2 linked regions of the Arabidopsis thaliana genome follow. The protein of the gene in region 1 interacts with the protein of each later gene in a pairwise test. Each region holds a gene or a part of one and is shown on either strand. Other genes may lie near its edges.

What was found.
Region 2: the proteins of AT-HSFA5 (region 1) and NAC062 interact in a two-hybrid assay, tested with the Arabidopsis thaliana proteins (one large-scale study listed by BioGRID).

Annotation. Positions count from the first base shown.
Region 1 is NC_003075.7:8,074,793-8,082,075, forward strand, and holds AT-HSFA5 (winged-helix DNA-binding transcription factor family protein), read right to left. Parts: upstream 4,617-7,283; 5' UTR 4,456-4,616; coding exon 4,210-4,455; intron 3,882-4,209; coding exon 2,727-3,881; 3' UTR 2,715-2,726; intron 2,429-2,714; 3' UTR 2,111-2,428; downstream 1-2,110. Other genes in the region: FBD1 (FBD-associated F-box protein), read right to left, coding at 5,326-5,604, 5,694-5,834, 5,918-6,877. UniProt on the Arabidopsis thaliana protein: Transcriptional activator that specifically binds DNA sequence 5'-AGAAnnTTCT-3' known as heat shock promoter elements (HSE).
Region 2 is NC_003074.8:18,360,345-18,367,919, reverse strand, and holds NAC062 (NAC domain containing protein 62), read left to right. Parts: upstream 1-2,960; 5' UTR 2,961-3,202; coding exon 3,203-3,380; intron 3,381-3,650; coding exon 3,651-3,931; intron 3,932-4,025; coding exon 4,026-4,265; intron 4,266-4,357; coding exon 4,358-4,654; intron 4,655-4,749; coding exon 4,750-4,959; coding exon of another isoform or gene 4,960-4,983; exon of another isoform or gene 4,984-5,077; coding exon 5,078-5,281; 3' UTR 5,282-5,477; downstream 5,478-7,575. Other genes in the region: AT3G49540 (uncharacterized protein), read right to left, coding at 1,517-1,921, 2,025-2,120; AT3G49520 (F-box and associated interaction domains-containing protein), read right to left, coding at 7,170-7,575. UniProt on the Arabidopsis thaliana protein: Transcriptional activator activated by proteolytic cleavage through regulated intramembrane proteolysis (RIP). Transcriptional activator involved in response to cold stress.

The DNA of each region.
Region 1 (7,283 bases):
ACTAAAAGAATGTTCAATTATAAAACAAGACAAACAATCAGAAGATAAGACAAACATTATACACAAGCAGAGATAAGACAAACTCTAAATATAATGACTTCGAGACAAACTTTACACAATCAGAGATACGACAAGCATCAATTCAAACACTTAAAGTAGCAATGAAATAAATGAGACAGAAAGATAATATTTCAACAGAAATCCAGAAAAGTTGAAGACTTTGTCGCCCAAAGACGCAATTCCCCAAAAGGGTTAACGTAAAAAACATAAACGACGCAAATGACCGGAGCTTAACTTATATCATTTCAAGCATTTGGGTAAACCACTGGAAAAAGCAAGCACTAGGCATTAAAAATGGGACCTTTACACAAAATTTCAGGAAATTGAAGATCAAATTTCTCGATTCAACTAAAAATCTGAAAACTCCCAAATGGGTTTCAGAGAAAAAAACAAGACCATGACCTCGATAGACAAATCAAAGGAGAGAAAGGACTTCGTCATAAACACAGAAAAAATGAAACAGGAAAAAAACTTCTGATATCGAGTGAAAGAACGGAGTAATCAAAAGAGAATTTTTCAGTTTCAAGGTAGGTTCAACGGAGAGAAATAATCACTTACCCGGCGGAGTCAGAAACAGATGTCGAATTCGTAAAACCCCAATAACGATTGAGGAAAATGCTTTAGGGTTCTTCCAGAGTGTCTTGAGTCTGAGAATCGAGATTGGGAGAGTGAGAAGCAATAAGACGCCGTTTGAATTAAACTAAGAAACGGTGCGTTTTAGTAGCACATATTCATTTTTAGTGAAGCCTTGGTCGAGTAATTCCACGTCGGCCCACGGGTGTGAAGTCTCTGTCTGAACCATACCCGCCGAAATAAATCCGTTTACTGTATATAAGTATATAACTATGCCTAGGCATTCAGATTTTGAATAGGATTTAGTTTGAATATTTTTGGATTTGGATAATTTGGATAGAAGAGTTTATTATATATTCAGATTTTATGACTATTCAATTCAAATAGCTGTCGAATTTGGATTGGTGTTTGGAAGAAAAAAACAAAAAAATAATAAACATTTTGATTATACTAAAATTTGGTTATATTTTGCAAAAAAAAAAAAATGTATAAATTTATCAAATATAACTACAAAATTTTGGAAGCCTAGGTTATTTAAGATATTTTTGTTATTTTGTAGTTTGTGGTATAAATTTTGTAACTAAATATAGCTAATATTTTGGATATGTAAATTTATTTCGAATTTTCGGATATTCTTTAGATTAATAATTCGATATCTTCCTTTGGGTTATCTAAGCTGACAAATAGTCCCATGTACCGCCCAAAGAAATTTTGTAATGCAATCGGGTTTTTAGATAGATATACAAGTGAACGGAAAAAAAGTATGACCAAACACTTTGTATCCTATCAAAGGAGACGATTACTCTTTTCGAACCATATAGCCTCGTTAGTGGCATCCAAATATACTCCAATTCTTTCTGTCTGAATGTCTTTGATAGCCGCTTAGAGAAAACCACCTCAATATCCCCATTGCGTTGGCCGTTAAGCATAGTTCACAAAATGACAAAATGGTCAAATTCAACCAGTCACCAAATCATCAACAACAAAAAACAATTTCCACATAATTATGAAGGACACATACATAACATAACAAGAAAGAACAAAGCCACATACATAATCTAACATTTGATAAACCACTTTCCACATAATCATGAAGAACGCAACAGATAACAAAATATATTTGTTTTTGGAGATTTAGCACATCTACTTGAAAAAAAAACTATATCAAAATGAACAAAGTGGAGATTATATATCTGAGATGGTTGTTTTGATTGAATTACAACATAGAAATAAAACTATAGAGAAAACTGTTTATTTCAAAACATATTTTTGAATTTTGTAATAAAATAAAAACTGTCTCCAAAATAATAATAGAATTTTTATGTCTTTGATCTTGTACATTAACAAGTGATCTAAACATCAAAAGCTAAATATGACATTTTTCCTAAATATAAACCATTACTTAATACATTTATAACGGAAGAATACGAGTAAGGGTCGAGAATAGTTTCGAAAGCTAAATATGCTATCCGGAAGATTTTCATCAAAATATATTGATTAATAAAAAGAGTAAGACTACAATAAAATAAATAGTAACACATTTCAGCGGATGTTACCAATATCGTCGGTACTAAGATTTGGGGGAAGGCTACATATTGTTTTGACATTTACGACACGAAAAAAATGCTTATTCAATTTAAATCCTGTACACTTACATTTACAGTCAAATTACTTGTGTAGACAGAGACGCAAGTGTTTACAACAAAGCTACTTACGCTTTTTCAGTCCAATGTTTCATTACTTACTCACCCATACTTCTTACCAAAACCACAGTTCGTACTCTCGTTGATGTAACCTGAAAATACAAATGCGTAATTTTTCTGCGTTAGAAATTGGCATAAATCGGGTAAATGAGGACAACTTGCTAGGGTTCACTAATAAGTGCAGAATGATTTTCAAGCAGAAAATAAACGTTTAACAGATACTGCATATGCAGGTTCATTTAACAAGAATTTGTCGACAATGTCTAGCTAAACAACCAAATTGTTGCCAAACATCATGCACATATCGAGAAAGCTAACATGTGAATCACAAAATAGTAAAGGAATCATAATTAATGAGTAGGTTTAAGGATGTATTACCGTCCAAATAGTTTATAAGGTCAGCTGCTCGATATTCTTTGTATTACGTAACATCATACTCCCGTTTCTTTTCTCCTCTTGCTCTTCGTATGGGTTACCTCTATAAGTCGAACTTGCCTCCTCATTATCTGAAGACCCTGGCCTTTCTGTTAGGAACTGTTCCCAGAATACATCATTCACTCTTGCTGGAGGAGCTGCATTTGCTTGGCTACCTCCAACTGCAATCTCTTGTCTACCCCGATTTTTCTCACTTGCACTTGTTTCTATTGAGTTAAAGTTTAACTCCTGACTTTTAAGAGTCGTCTTAGCTATCTGTGAAGCTGTTTTGTCCGGTAACGGAGCAGAAGCCAGGGTTAGATTTAAATGACATGAAAAGCTACCATCAGTCTCCTCTGAAGAAGTTAGCCTCTGCTGCAAGGTCTCCACCCTTGTATTATCATTTAACAGTAATCTCCTCGGGCATGTCCCGGTATCCGCAAGCTCTAGAGCTTCAGGTGCAAATGGTAGGCCTTCTCTTTTTGTTAGTGTAGTATTTGGATCACCTCCTGACAGTATCCCTTTGGGACTCGCACCTTCTTCATTGGAACTTTGTATACTGTGTGAAACCATGTTCATATCTGAATCAGCTGGAGAAAGCTCTAGTCGCAATTTATTAGAGAAATTTTGATGAAAAATGTTTCCAGACTCGCGTCTCGAGCTACCACTACTATTATCCAGATGAGAATCTTCTGAAGGTGGCTTTGATTGCTCAACTTCAGGGAGCCTTCGCTTTTTGTTGTAAGCTGAAATATCCAACTGCTCGACTTTCTTACCAAAATTCTTAACAAAAGTAGGATTCCGAATCGCAGTTTCCAAAAAATTCAGCAGCTTCTTCTGCCTATTCTCCATATCATCAACATGCTCAGTCATTTCTTCAAACTGATGCTTTGCTACAACCTTCTGTTGTTTGAACTTTAAAAGCTTAGCTTCAATTGCAGCTTTCTCACGTGAAAGCTTGTCCATTTGCTCTTGCAACACTGCTCTTTCTTGATCAGTCGACGAAGCAGGTGGATGACTGTGGCTGTGTATAGGTTTCCTTCTATGTATATTCTTGAGAAGATGCTTCTGATCCTTAATAAAATCATCATTCAAAAACTCCCACCTCTCTGGATCAATCTTCCTAAACCCCTATAACCATAATCCCAACAACATTCACACCGTTAATAGAAACCTAAAGCAGAGAACGAGGAAAAACAACACAGTCTCTAAGTTCACCCATTTCCACAATTCAGTCCATAATCACACAGAGACTACAATTTTTAGCTACATTTCATCTTCTCGTTGAATCAATCAATCCACAATCCATAAACTCATTTCCATAATTCAGTCTATAAATCACACAGAGACCTAGATGCGTTCTAACATTTCCAAAACCCCTTTTACATTGGAAACTTGATCAAAATTAGGTCAATTCAAAACTTGGAATATAGAAGAGTTTGGATAGAATCTGACTCACATAGGTATTGAGCTGACGAATGAAGGAAGAGAAGTTATTGTGTTTGAAGTAGGTTGGAAGAAGGAGGCGTGAAAATTCGGCATGATTCCAAACGATGAAGCTGTTGTTGTTAGCGCTCCACGATACGATCTGGTCCGTTGATGAATCGTCGACCATCTCGTAGGTTTTCACCAAGAAAGGCGCTGGTCCTCCGGCTCCTTCTCCGCCGCTAACGGAGGCGGAGGAGTTACCTAATGCGCCGTTCATTGTTGAATCTAATCAGAAACTGGTACAAGAGATGGTGATGCTGGGAAAGAGAGAGATCCTTTGCCGTAAATAAATGAATAACTTTCTTTTCATTTTTTATACTAATAATATCTAAAACTGCAAATTAAACCCAAAAAATACCTAAATTGTTTAGCTAAAACTGCAAATGGCCAAGTAAAAATGATAAATTTCATAAAAATGACTCTTTTGAGTGTTACTTATAGTCTTATAGACCATAGTATTCAACAAATATTGTTACGAATTTGTTTGAGTATAAATACTGTGATACTAATTTCTATCCACTGTCTTTTGTTTGGATATCTCACAATTGAAAGATATCAGACAAATAGAGCTAGTGAAGTTTAATAGAGTGAAATCTTTTGAGTGGAGTTATCTATATTTTTCTGTTATTTTAAATCGTGTTATTCTATCCAATTGTAAAACTTCTAATTTTTCATTTTTGTCATTTGTGTGAGATCTTAAAACCAATTTTTAGCCTTTAAACCAGTTTAAAACATTATAATAATTATTAATTTTGACATTATTATTTGATAATTTATAAAGATTTCACGATAAAATAGATAATGTTTGTCAAACTAATGAAAAAAATAAGTAAATATGCATTCAAATTTTTTATAATTAATTAGGATATATCTATTTATATAGTGTTAATAAATAATTCAATAAGGATTTTGTTGACGAGAAAGCATTAATAGTCATATTTGACAAAATACCAAACATATGATTCTCTTAAAAGTTTACGATAGATAAAACGAAGAAAAAAACAGAGTTAACGATAACTTGGTACCCAAAAGACAAACCTTTTGTGTTCATCACTGAAATAAAGACTACTATGAGGAATATTGAGGATCAGAGAACGAAAACTTGGCATGAAGGAGAGAGTCTTGGAATGGTAAGGAGTTTCTTGACGATGACAGATTCTTCCTTCTCTCTGAAGTTACGTAAGCATAGTGTGAGTTTCTTGAGGATTGTTGAGTTCTCTAGAAAGTAACTCACTAGTTTCAGTTTTATCTCGCTTGCCTCCGCTGCCATCGGCTTTGCAATCTTAACATACTCGAGAGATGTTAGAAACCGCCGGGGTCCAGGTAAAATATTAGCTCCCTCCTTCCCTGGAGGTATACTAAATCCCTGCAAAGACAACAAGTTGAATATGTCTTACTTTTACCATTTGCATTCATAGTAAGGAAGAGAGTTTATTATTAAGTAAAGATCCTAACCAAGACAAGAGATTTTAGATTCGGGCAGCTCTCAAGAAAGATTGGCAACATTTCCCACCTGTAGTCGGCGAATTCAACACGCAAGAAAGATACATTACGGAATAAGGGTAGTTGTTCACATCTTGAGTAATCATATATGACCTGCTCGAAGAAAATAAAAGATATTAGTATGAAACTTATAGGATAAAGTGAAGAATTCAAATAGTAAATTCAATGATGGTTACCTGAAGAGTACTCGAAGAGATGATCATATCTTTAACACCAGATAAACCGACAAGAAAGTCACGAATTATATGTCTCGTTGGTAGATAATTTGGATCGAACATATATTCGGAACCTAAGTTAAACACAAAATCAATATCCGCCTTAAGAAGGGAGCCATGATTTTTCATTATAAAACTTGCAGTTCGTTTATCATTGAGCTTTAGATAGTGAAGCCTAGGAGCATCAATTACAACTTCTAGATAATCATCATCGTCTGCAACATAACTGAAGCTCAATAGAGACTGCGAAGACACTTGAACACTTTCTGAAATGTCGTTCAAGTTAATCTTGTTTACACTTAAGCTTTCGAGAACTGGGCAGCCTGAGACCAGCATTTCGAAAGCGAAATCTTCGTCAAACACAACTGCATCTAGAACGATAACTTTGAGGGAAGGTAAAGACACAAACTCGCGATTAGGCAAGTATACGTCATAGAGATTTAAGGATATCAAGCTCCCACACGTAAAAACTGTTGGGGGTATCACCACTTCATCTCTCCCCCAAGTTTTGTCCAGGATATGGAGATGTTGAACTTTCCGCTTAACAACAGCGTTAAACCACTCGGTGAAATGAACAGTTTCAAGCTGAACATCGTCATACCAATTAACCGTTAACTTAAACTTTTGTAAACACGACTCGCTATTAAAACCTAGAAACCTATAAACGAAACCCAACAAAGCGTTGAATTCCGATGAATCATAATACTCCCTCACCATGAAATCACCACATTCCAAGTCCAAACCAGGTACATATCTCCAGACATTTCTCCAGCGGCGTGATAGTACACTTAACTTAACCACATCCTTGGTGGGAAGATTCAAGAGAATCTTAAAAAGCAAGCAATCTGGTAAGTTTCTCAGCCGATCTACTCTATCACCTGATGGCTTCGCACTAACGCGGCTCTCCCTGTCTTCTTCCATGTTATCTGCCTAGCAAACATCGAACTGAAATGAAGAATCGAATAAATCTTCCAACGTGAAAGACATCAAAATGACAGAAATATGTACCTAATCAGATCAAACGGAGCGAGATCGAGATTGAGATGCTTAAATCTCCATGGAATTTTCCGATCGTATCTACTGTGTCTTCACTCCAGTTTTAGGGTTTCAACTTTTTCAGGTCAGTAGTGGAAAGGTGAAAAGTCTCTAAGTGCTGTTTCGAACTACGTGTATAATAAATAATAAACATGTTCAGTTTAATTTAGTTTTAAGTGATCGATCTATAGTTACGAAAAAAAAAAACACAAGTCTGGGCTTTTAAGAACTTAGCCCACTATAGATAAAAATCGAACCAAACCGATTAAAAAAGTTTTGGTGCAAATCGACG
Region 2 (7,575 bases), on another chromosome or scaffold:
AGAAAGTTTGTGAAGAAGAAGAAGATGAATTGGTCATTTTTAACTATTTATAGAAATCAATCTAACTCCGTTACTTGAAAAATAAACGGTATATTTATTTATTTTTATTGTCAATTTTAAAAATGATTACAGATTTCTTGAGCTAATTTATTGATTTTCTACAATTTCTTTTGTCTTTTCTTGGCGGTTAATGGGGAAATTCACGTGTCTATTAATTTATGGTTAGAGATACTACTAAAATATCTACTCGTATATTTGCATATTAAATGGCCTATTTAATAGGCGTGGGCAGGAAATGGTATTTGATAATGTAATTAATTAGTTATTTGGATATTTATTTATAGAGTAAGACGGCAGAAAAAAGTCCGTGAAGTAACGGTAAGAGGAACTGAATCAAACCATTCTCACATTTCTCAAGACTCTAACCATTGAAATTGAATTTTTTTCTCTTTTGGCCAAACAAGAACTAAGAAGAAGAAAAAACGACTATAAATAGATGGCACAAGTCATTCATCACAAAAGAGTAGCTAGACCTAGAGAAAGCTAGCTAAACAAGGATAAAACAAAATACGTAAACACCTTGTTTTGTATTATACCAATAGAAAGAGTTAAATCAGAATTTGGAGGAAGGTGTACGGAATCCATCCACCGTGAGACCACAAATTGAGGTAACATGATGATAGAAGTTTTGTTGTAGCGACGAGAACAATGTTCCGTATACTTCATATACTGCTTAAAACCAGAAGTGTTTATGCGACAACAACCTTCATCACTAGTCCAATCCTCCGAATCCTGATGAATGATGAACTGTCAACTCTTGTGTCCGCAAGTTACCAGATACAAAACAAGAGTGTTTTTGACTCCATAGATAGATAATATCAGAATCAAAGGGATTCATTGCCACTTGAAAACATTCGAATATACTCCAACAGATGCAATGTTGATTTCCGGTGTCAACAACTGCCAACATTCATCCTCTAAGTGTTAATATTCAGTCTCCAAATCCTCAATATTCGATGTAGTATTTCAATGCAGATCCCATCTCCTCGTGAAGTAGTCAAACATCTCTTAACATTCTAACATTAAATTGAAATCATTTAGTAATATTTGATATTTTTTCTTCTTTTCTTTGACACTGCCAATTACGATTTATGAGCAGGACTTAAGATTGCATATACAATCAAATGAAAGATGGAGTCACATCACAAGAATAAAAAGATCAATGATCAAATGAAAGATTTTAGTTTTCAGGGGATTTTGCATCTTTCAATGTTTTCGATTGTATCTTCCGGAGAAAAAAGAATCAGAGATCGTAATTCACACACGAACACGTTCGACTTAAGAAATGTTGATTACAAATTTTCACGATGCAAAACTGATTTATATTTAATTGAATCAAAGAAGAATCATTTTGAGATACAAAGAACAACAAAAGCCAAACCAATCTGGTAGTAGCAAATCAAACCAAGGTGACATACAACAACATTCAAAATACTTTCACAAATTTAATTAATCATCAAACGGTGACAACAGCTTCTTTCTCTTCTTGTTTACTCTCCTCCTTTACTGGTTCAGCCTCAGCTTTTACTGGTTCAGCCTCAGCCTTTACTGGTTCAGCTTCAGCCTTTTTCTCCGCTTCCACTGCAACCTCAACCTTTTCGGGTGCAGCTACGGCAACCGCCTCCACCTTTGCTTCAGCGTTTTCTGTTGCAGCGTTCTCCACTTTCTCAGGTGCAACTACTGCAGCCTCACCAGCATCAGCAGAAGAAGACTCTTCGACGGCTGCAACCTCTGGTTGAACAGCAGGAGTTGTTTCCTTGGTCGGCTCGACCGGAAATGTCTCCTTAGCTTCGACAGAAGTTGTTTCAGTGGTCTCAGCCACTGTCTGGTTCTGTTTCTCACCGCTTTCTGTGTTGTTCTCCTGTATTAATTAATCATACCAAAAGATCATAACCGGTTAAGCCCGGTTCGGTAACAAAACCTAATTAAATTTTCATATTTAAAACCTAGAGATTAATTGTTACCTTGGCTACTACGTTTTCAGAGACAGGCTTGTTAGGAACAGAGCCTTCTTCGTTTTGCATGTCTGATTCCTTGGGTCTACTCGCACAGCCACCCATTATTATATATTTTTTTGGTTTTTGTGATTTTGGGTTGGGTTTAGGCTGTGGAGTGTGCAAAAAAAATTTACACAAACTTTTTTATTTTTCTCTTCTTTTTTATTAATGTTGACCCGAGGATTGAGCAAATGAAGAGAACATAATCATGGTTATATAGATGAAGATGATTCCGATTTTTATGGAGAGCCTTTGGTATTTTTTCTTGTGTGTGTTGAAGTATTCAAATTGGGGATGGCTAAGAATAGAGTTTAGCAGAGAGGTAAGAGTAAATTTAGATAGATGTTTCTCTGTATTTGAAAAGCTTCATTGATATCGTCAAACTTTTGGAAGTTTTGTGGACCTCTCTCGTCTCTTGTTGCTAGCTCTATTTTTAGCCGGTCCTAGCTCCAGAATTTTAATTCGATTTTTTGAATTTTGTAACTTGCAAAGATAAGAGGATTACGCCGTGTAAACGATGATGAATATCCTAATGATTATGCAGCTTTTTACTAATACATAATTTCATGAAAGAAGTTTTGATTAGGTTTCCAAAAGTCAAAGAAAGCGAAAAAATCTAAATAAATTAAAAAAGACAAGTTTCCAAAAGTCAAGAAAAGCGTAACACCATCCCAAAAACAAAGTGACATGCACCGAAACTTCCATTCCTTTCCACGTGTCATTACATCATTCGTTCTATGACATTTCTCATCACCTTCTTTTACAACAGTCATTCACTTCTCGCTTTTACCCCTGCATCTAGTTAATATCCCAAAGTCGCTCAAGGGCAAAACCATACTTTAACAATTTCCAAACCGCGTAACGTACTTGGTTTGCCGCGTGTACACACCACGCGCTGCCATCACCATATAGAACTCACAAAAGGAAAGAAAAAACCAAATCAAAGCTCACATCTGCCTTCTTCTTCACTTTACCAAAATCATCGAATCCATTTTTAGGGTTTTTGTTTTCTCTCTAAATTTTTATTGTTATCTTCTTCGCGATACCTTGGAATCGCATCTCTGAGATAGATAAATAATTCTGATTCGTATCTTTAAATCTTGGGTTCTTCTTCTTCTCGCGATTCGTTTAAAAGAGCAGCATCAATGAATCAGAATCTTCATGTATTATCAATGGATTCGTTACCAGTTGGATTAAGATTCCGTCCAACAGACGAGGAGCTAATCCGTTACTATCTCCGTAGGAAAATCAACGGTCACGATGACGACGTCAAAGCTATCCGTGAGATCGATATTTGCAAATGGGAACCTTGGGATTTACCTGGTACTTACTTACTTACTTCTTCATCTCTTTATTCATAAATTTACACTTTTTCTATAGATCCTCTTTGATTTCTCTGGCATTATGTTGAATTGAGAAATGGTAGAACTTAAAATTTGTAGCTTTAGTTTCTATGGTGAAGAAAGTTAATAACTTTAAACCGATCATATGTGTTTGATATAGTTTAGTTTTGGGTATGTGGTTATATCTCTGTTAAGGTGTAGTGTAAGTGACTGAAATTTGATTAAAAGATGTGATTTTTTTTTGTTGTAGATTTTTCTGTGATCAAAACTAAAGACTCAGAGTGGCTCTACTTCTGTCCATTGGATCGGAAGTATCCGAGTGGAAGTAGACAGAACCGGGCAACAGTTGCAGGGTACTGGAAAGCCACAGGAAAAGACCGGAAGATAAAATCCGGTAAGACTAACATTATTGGTGTGAAGAGAACTCTAGTTTTCCACGCGGGTAGAGCTCCTAGGGGGACACGAACCAATTGGATTATTCATGAGTATCGTGCCACGGAGGATGATCTTAGTGGTACCAATCCTGGCCAGGTAAATAATGCATACTTTTAGATGTGTAACCATTGGAAAACTAAATTTGGCTCTGTAGCTTATTGTGTGCTTGTGTTGATATATATATATGCAGAGTCCGTTTGTTATATGCAAATTGTTCAAGAAAGAAGAACTGGTTTTAGGGGAAGAAGATTCGAAGTCAGATGAAGTTGAAGAACCTGCTGTCTCGTCTCCAACTGTCGAAGTGACTAAGTCAGAAGTATCTGAGGTAATTAAAACAGAAGACGTGAAGCGTCATGACATAGCAGAATCTTCTCTTGTAATCTCTGGAGATTCTCATAGTGATGCTTGTGATGAGGCTACAACCGCAGAGGTGAGGACATTGAAAAATTCTCTTAGACAGTTTTTAGATGATTGTCTCTAGTGTCTGTTTGAATACTAATGATGTTTATTTTCGGCATGCAGCTTGTAGATTTTAAATGGTATCCGGAATTGGAGTCCTTAGATTTCACGCTGTTCTCTCCATTACACTCTCAAGTCCAATCTGAGCTTGGATCCTCTTACAACACATTCCAGCCTGGCTCGAGTAATTTTTCAGGGAACAACAACAACAGCTTCCAAATCCAGACTCAGTATGGTACAAATGAAGTAGATACGTATATATCTGATTTTCTTGATTCGATTCTCAAGAGCCCAGACGAGGATCCAGAGAAGCACAAGTATGTTTTGCAAAGTGGTTTTGATGTTGTAGCACCAGATCAGGTACATGAAGATTCCTCAAAACTCATTATATCATTTGTATGTACTTCTAGAAAACAGAAATCGTATTAACTCTTAACTACTTTACTTGATTGCAGATTGCGCAAGTGTGTCAACAGGGCTCAGCAGTTGACATGAGCAATGATGTTTCAGTGACGGGTATCCAGATTAAGAGTCGCCAGGCACAACCCTCAGGTTATACCAATGACTATATAGCGCAGGGAAATGGTCCAAGAAGGCTGCGTCTGCAAAGTAACTTTAATGGCATTAACACGAAGAATCCTGAGCTTCAAGCTATAAAGAGAGAGGTGAGAATAACACCCACCTTCTGATGAATTACTCATCCTTGGTTTCTTTTAGCGTGTATGTGGTTTCACGTCGCAGAGTGGAATCGATCCATGACATTAAAATGTTAATGCTATGCAGGCTGAGGACACGGTTGGAGAAAGTATAAAGAAAAGGTGTGGAAAGCTAATGAGATCAAAGAACGTGACCGGTTTTGTGTTTAAAAAGATTACGTCGGTGAAATGTTCATATGGAGGACTCTTTAGGGCGGCAGTAGTTGCAGTTGTGTTCTTGATGTCAGTCTGCAGTCTAACCGTCGACTTCAGAGCATCTGCAGTGTCCTGAAAACTGAAACTTTTTGTAAATATAGTGCTTGAACCGGCCCGTGTTTTTGCTTCTGTTATTGGTTTCAGGCTTTCGCCAGTTTATAAGATATATTTGTTTGTAGTTTTTACATGTAGTTAGGCTGCTTATGTAAACGTTATGATGACAGAGAGGTCAAGACTCTATTTACTTCTTTGACTTATTAGAGTTCTTCTCACATGAGTTCATTCTGGACAAAACTCGGAAGAGAGAAGTCAAGCGATCGAACCGGAGAGATCACAATAAAACTCATCAAAGGGCAAAAGTAAGTTCAACAAAATCATTTATCACAAAACCAAAATAATGCAAGCAAACTATATGACCAAAGCGGCTATCAACAAGAGAAAGGAGAGCGAGGCAACCATACCATAATCCTGGATTACCCGTAGAAGTGAACATAAACTAACATACACACTTTCTAAAATTGCCTAAACCTAAGATTTGTACCACCCAACACCACAAACAAGATAGCAAATGCAGCAATCTCATGGACGGAGGAATACAAAGGTCAGACGTTACCGGAGAGGAGGCTAAAACGGAAATAAATAGTATTAGTACCTAAGCATTTATTTAATAATACAACTTATGAATTTGGGTTTACAACGCTAGACGCAAGAAAAAAAGTGGAGCTTGTGGTGGAGTCGCAGAGGAGTATACATTCACTGTGTGGTATTCGTGTCAATAATTCACAAAATTGGAAGGGCTATAAATGTTTTTTGGCAATTTTTTAAATTACCATTAGAATGAGTTTTAGTTCCAAAAATATCATCATTAGTTTCTTTTACTCAAAAATACCACTGAAATGTCTTTTTAGTGTTTGTCTTTTGATTTTGTTTTGTCTTTAGTGTTTGTCTTTTGATTCTGAACGTTTTATAAAAGTGTATACAGTATATATTAACAGTGACTTGTGAAAGATTCAGAATTCTCTCTTGCTTCCTTTTGTCTAGGATGAGGCAAAGACTAAAACCAACCCTAGAGGAAAAGTTTTGTCTAGGATCCTCCTCGTGGCGATTTGTTCTATGCATCACACTTGCAACTAATTAGCTTGTGAACAATGAGCTAAAAAATGAGAGGAGAAAAAAGAGAGACGGAGATGCAGAGGAAAAGTTTGTCAAAGGAAACTGGATCGATGAGTCATGGCTCGTGCTCCTTCAAACCAGAACAGCCAAGTGTAGAGAGGAGTCAAATTGATGAAGATCACCAAGTTGTATCAGAAAATTCTGACCGTTTGTCATGTGTTGGAGCTAGTTGTGTATCACCCTTTGGTTTGAGAGGACAGGGAAATGAAACCCTAGTCAAAAGCGGTTCCGTTTAGACCGAAAGAAAAAGGAGTCAGAAATGACTTTGAAGCAGAAGATGGAGGCAGCAATAGCTGAGAAGAAGAGACAGAGGGAAGAAGAAGAGGGAAAGTTGAAGGATGACAAAAGACAGCGTGTTGCCAAAAGTCCGAGACAACAAAGAAAGGATGATAAAAAAAGCTTGTAGCTTTTATAGATCGAATACTACAATCACCGAAAAACACTGTTCTTGGACAGGTGAAATGAGATCAAAAAGTGATGATCGGAGAGCTTCTAGAGAAGCTTCTAAGGTATGCAATTTTCATATCTCAGTGACTTGTTATACAAGGTATTCAATTTTCATAATCATATACTCTGTTTGTTTGCTCTGGTCAAGATGCAGATATTATCCATGTTTAGAACATCAAATACCCGAAATCTAAAAAGATCTTCAATTTCTAAAAAGGTTTCAGATTGAAATATTCAAACAAAAAACTAGAAAAAGTGATCTTTACTTCACTAATGTCAACAATTGCTTCAAACTAAAAGCAGTCTCGTTCAAACCAAGAAACAAATACAGTATTGAAAATGGACTAAACTTGCAGTTGCAATAAACTTGGAACATAAGAAGAGCGCACAAGTTCGCCTCCTATCCAATGGGAATTCGAGATTACTCCAATGTTGACAGATTTGAAGTATCCATCATCTCCAACGATGTAAGCCATTTGGTAGCGACAGGTCTCTGTCACTTTAGTATCAAAAAGTACAGCGACTTTCTTCTCCTCGTCGATAAAAAAGCTTTTAGGTTCAAATCTAATCAAAAAATCATCCGTTAAACCATTGATTAGTGACATATCCACTTTCAAAAAAGTGCTCCACGAAACCGCATTGGGCTCAATCTTAGTCGAAATCCAAATCTCTATGATGTCAAATGTGTCGTAGTGGCTATATAACACAGCGAGCTTATCATCTCTAGCCCAAGATAGAGCCAAATATTCA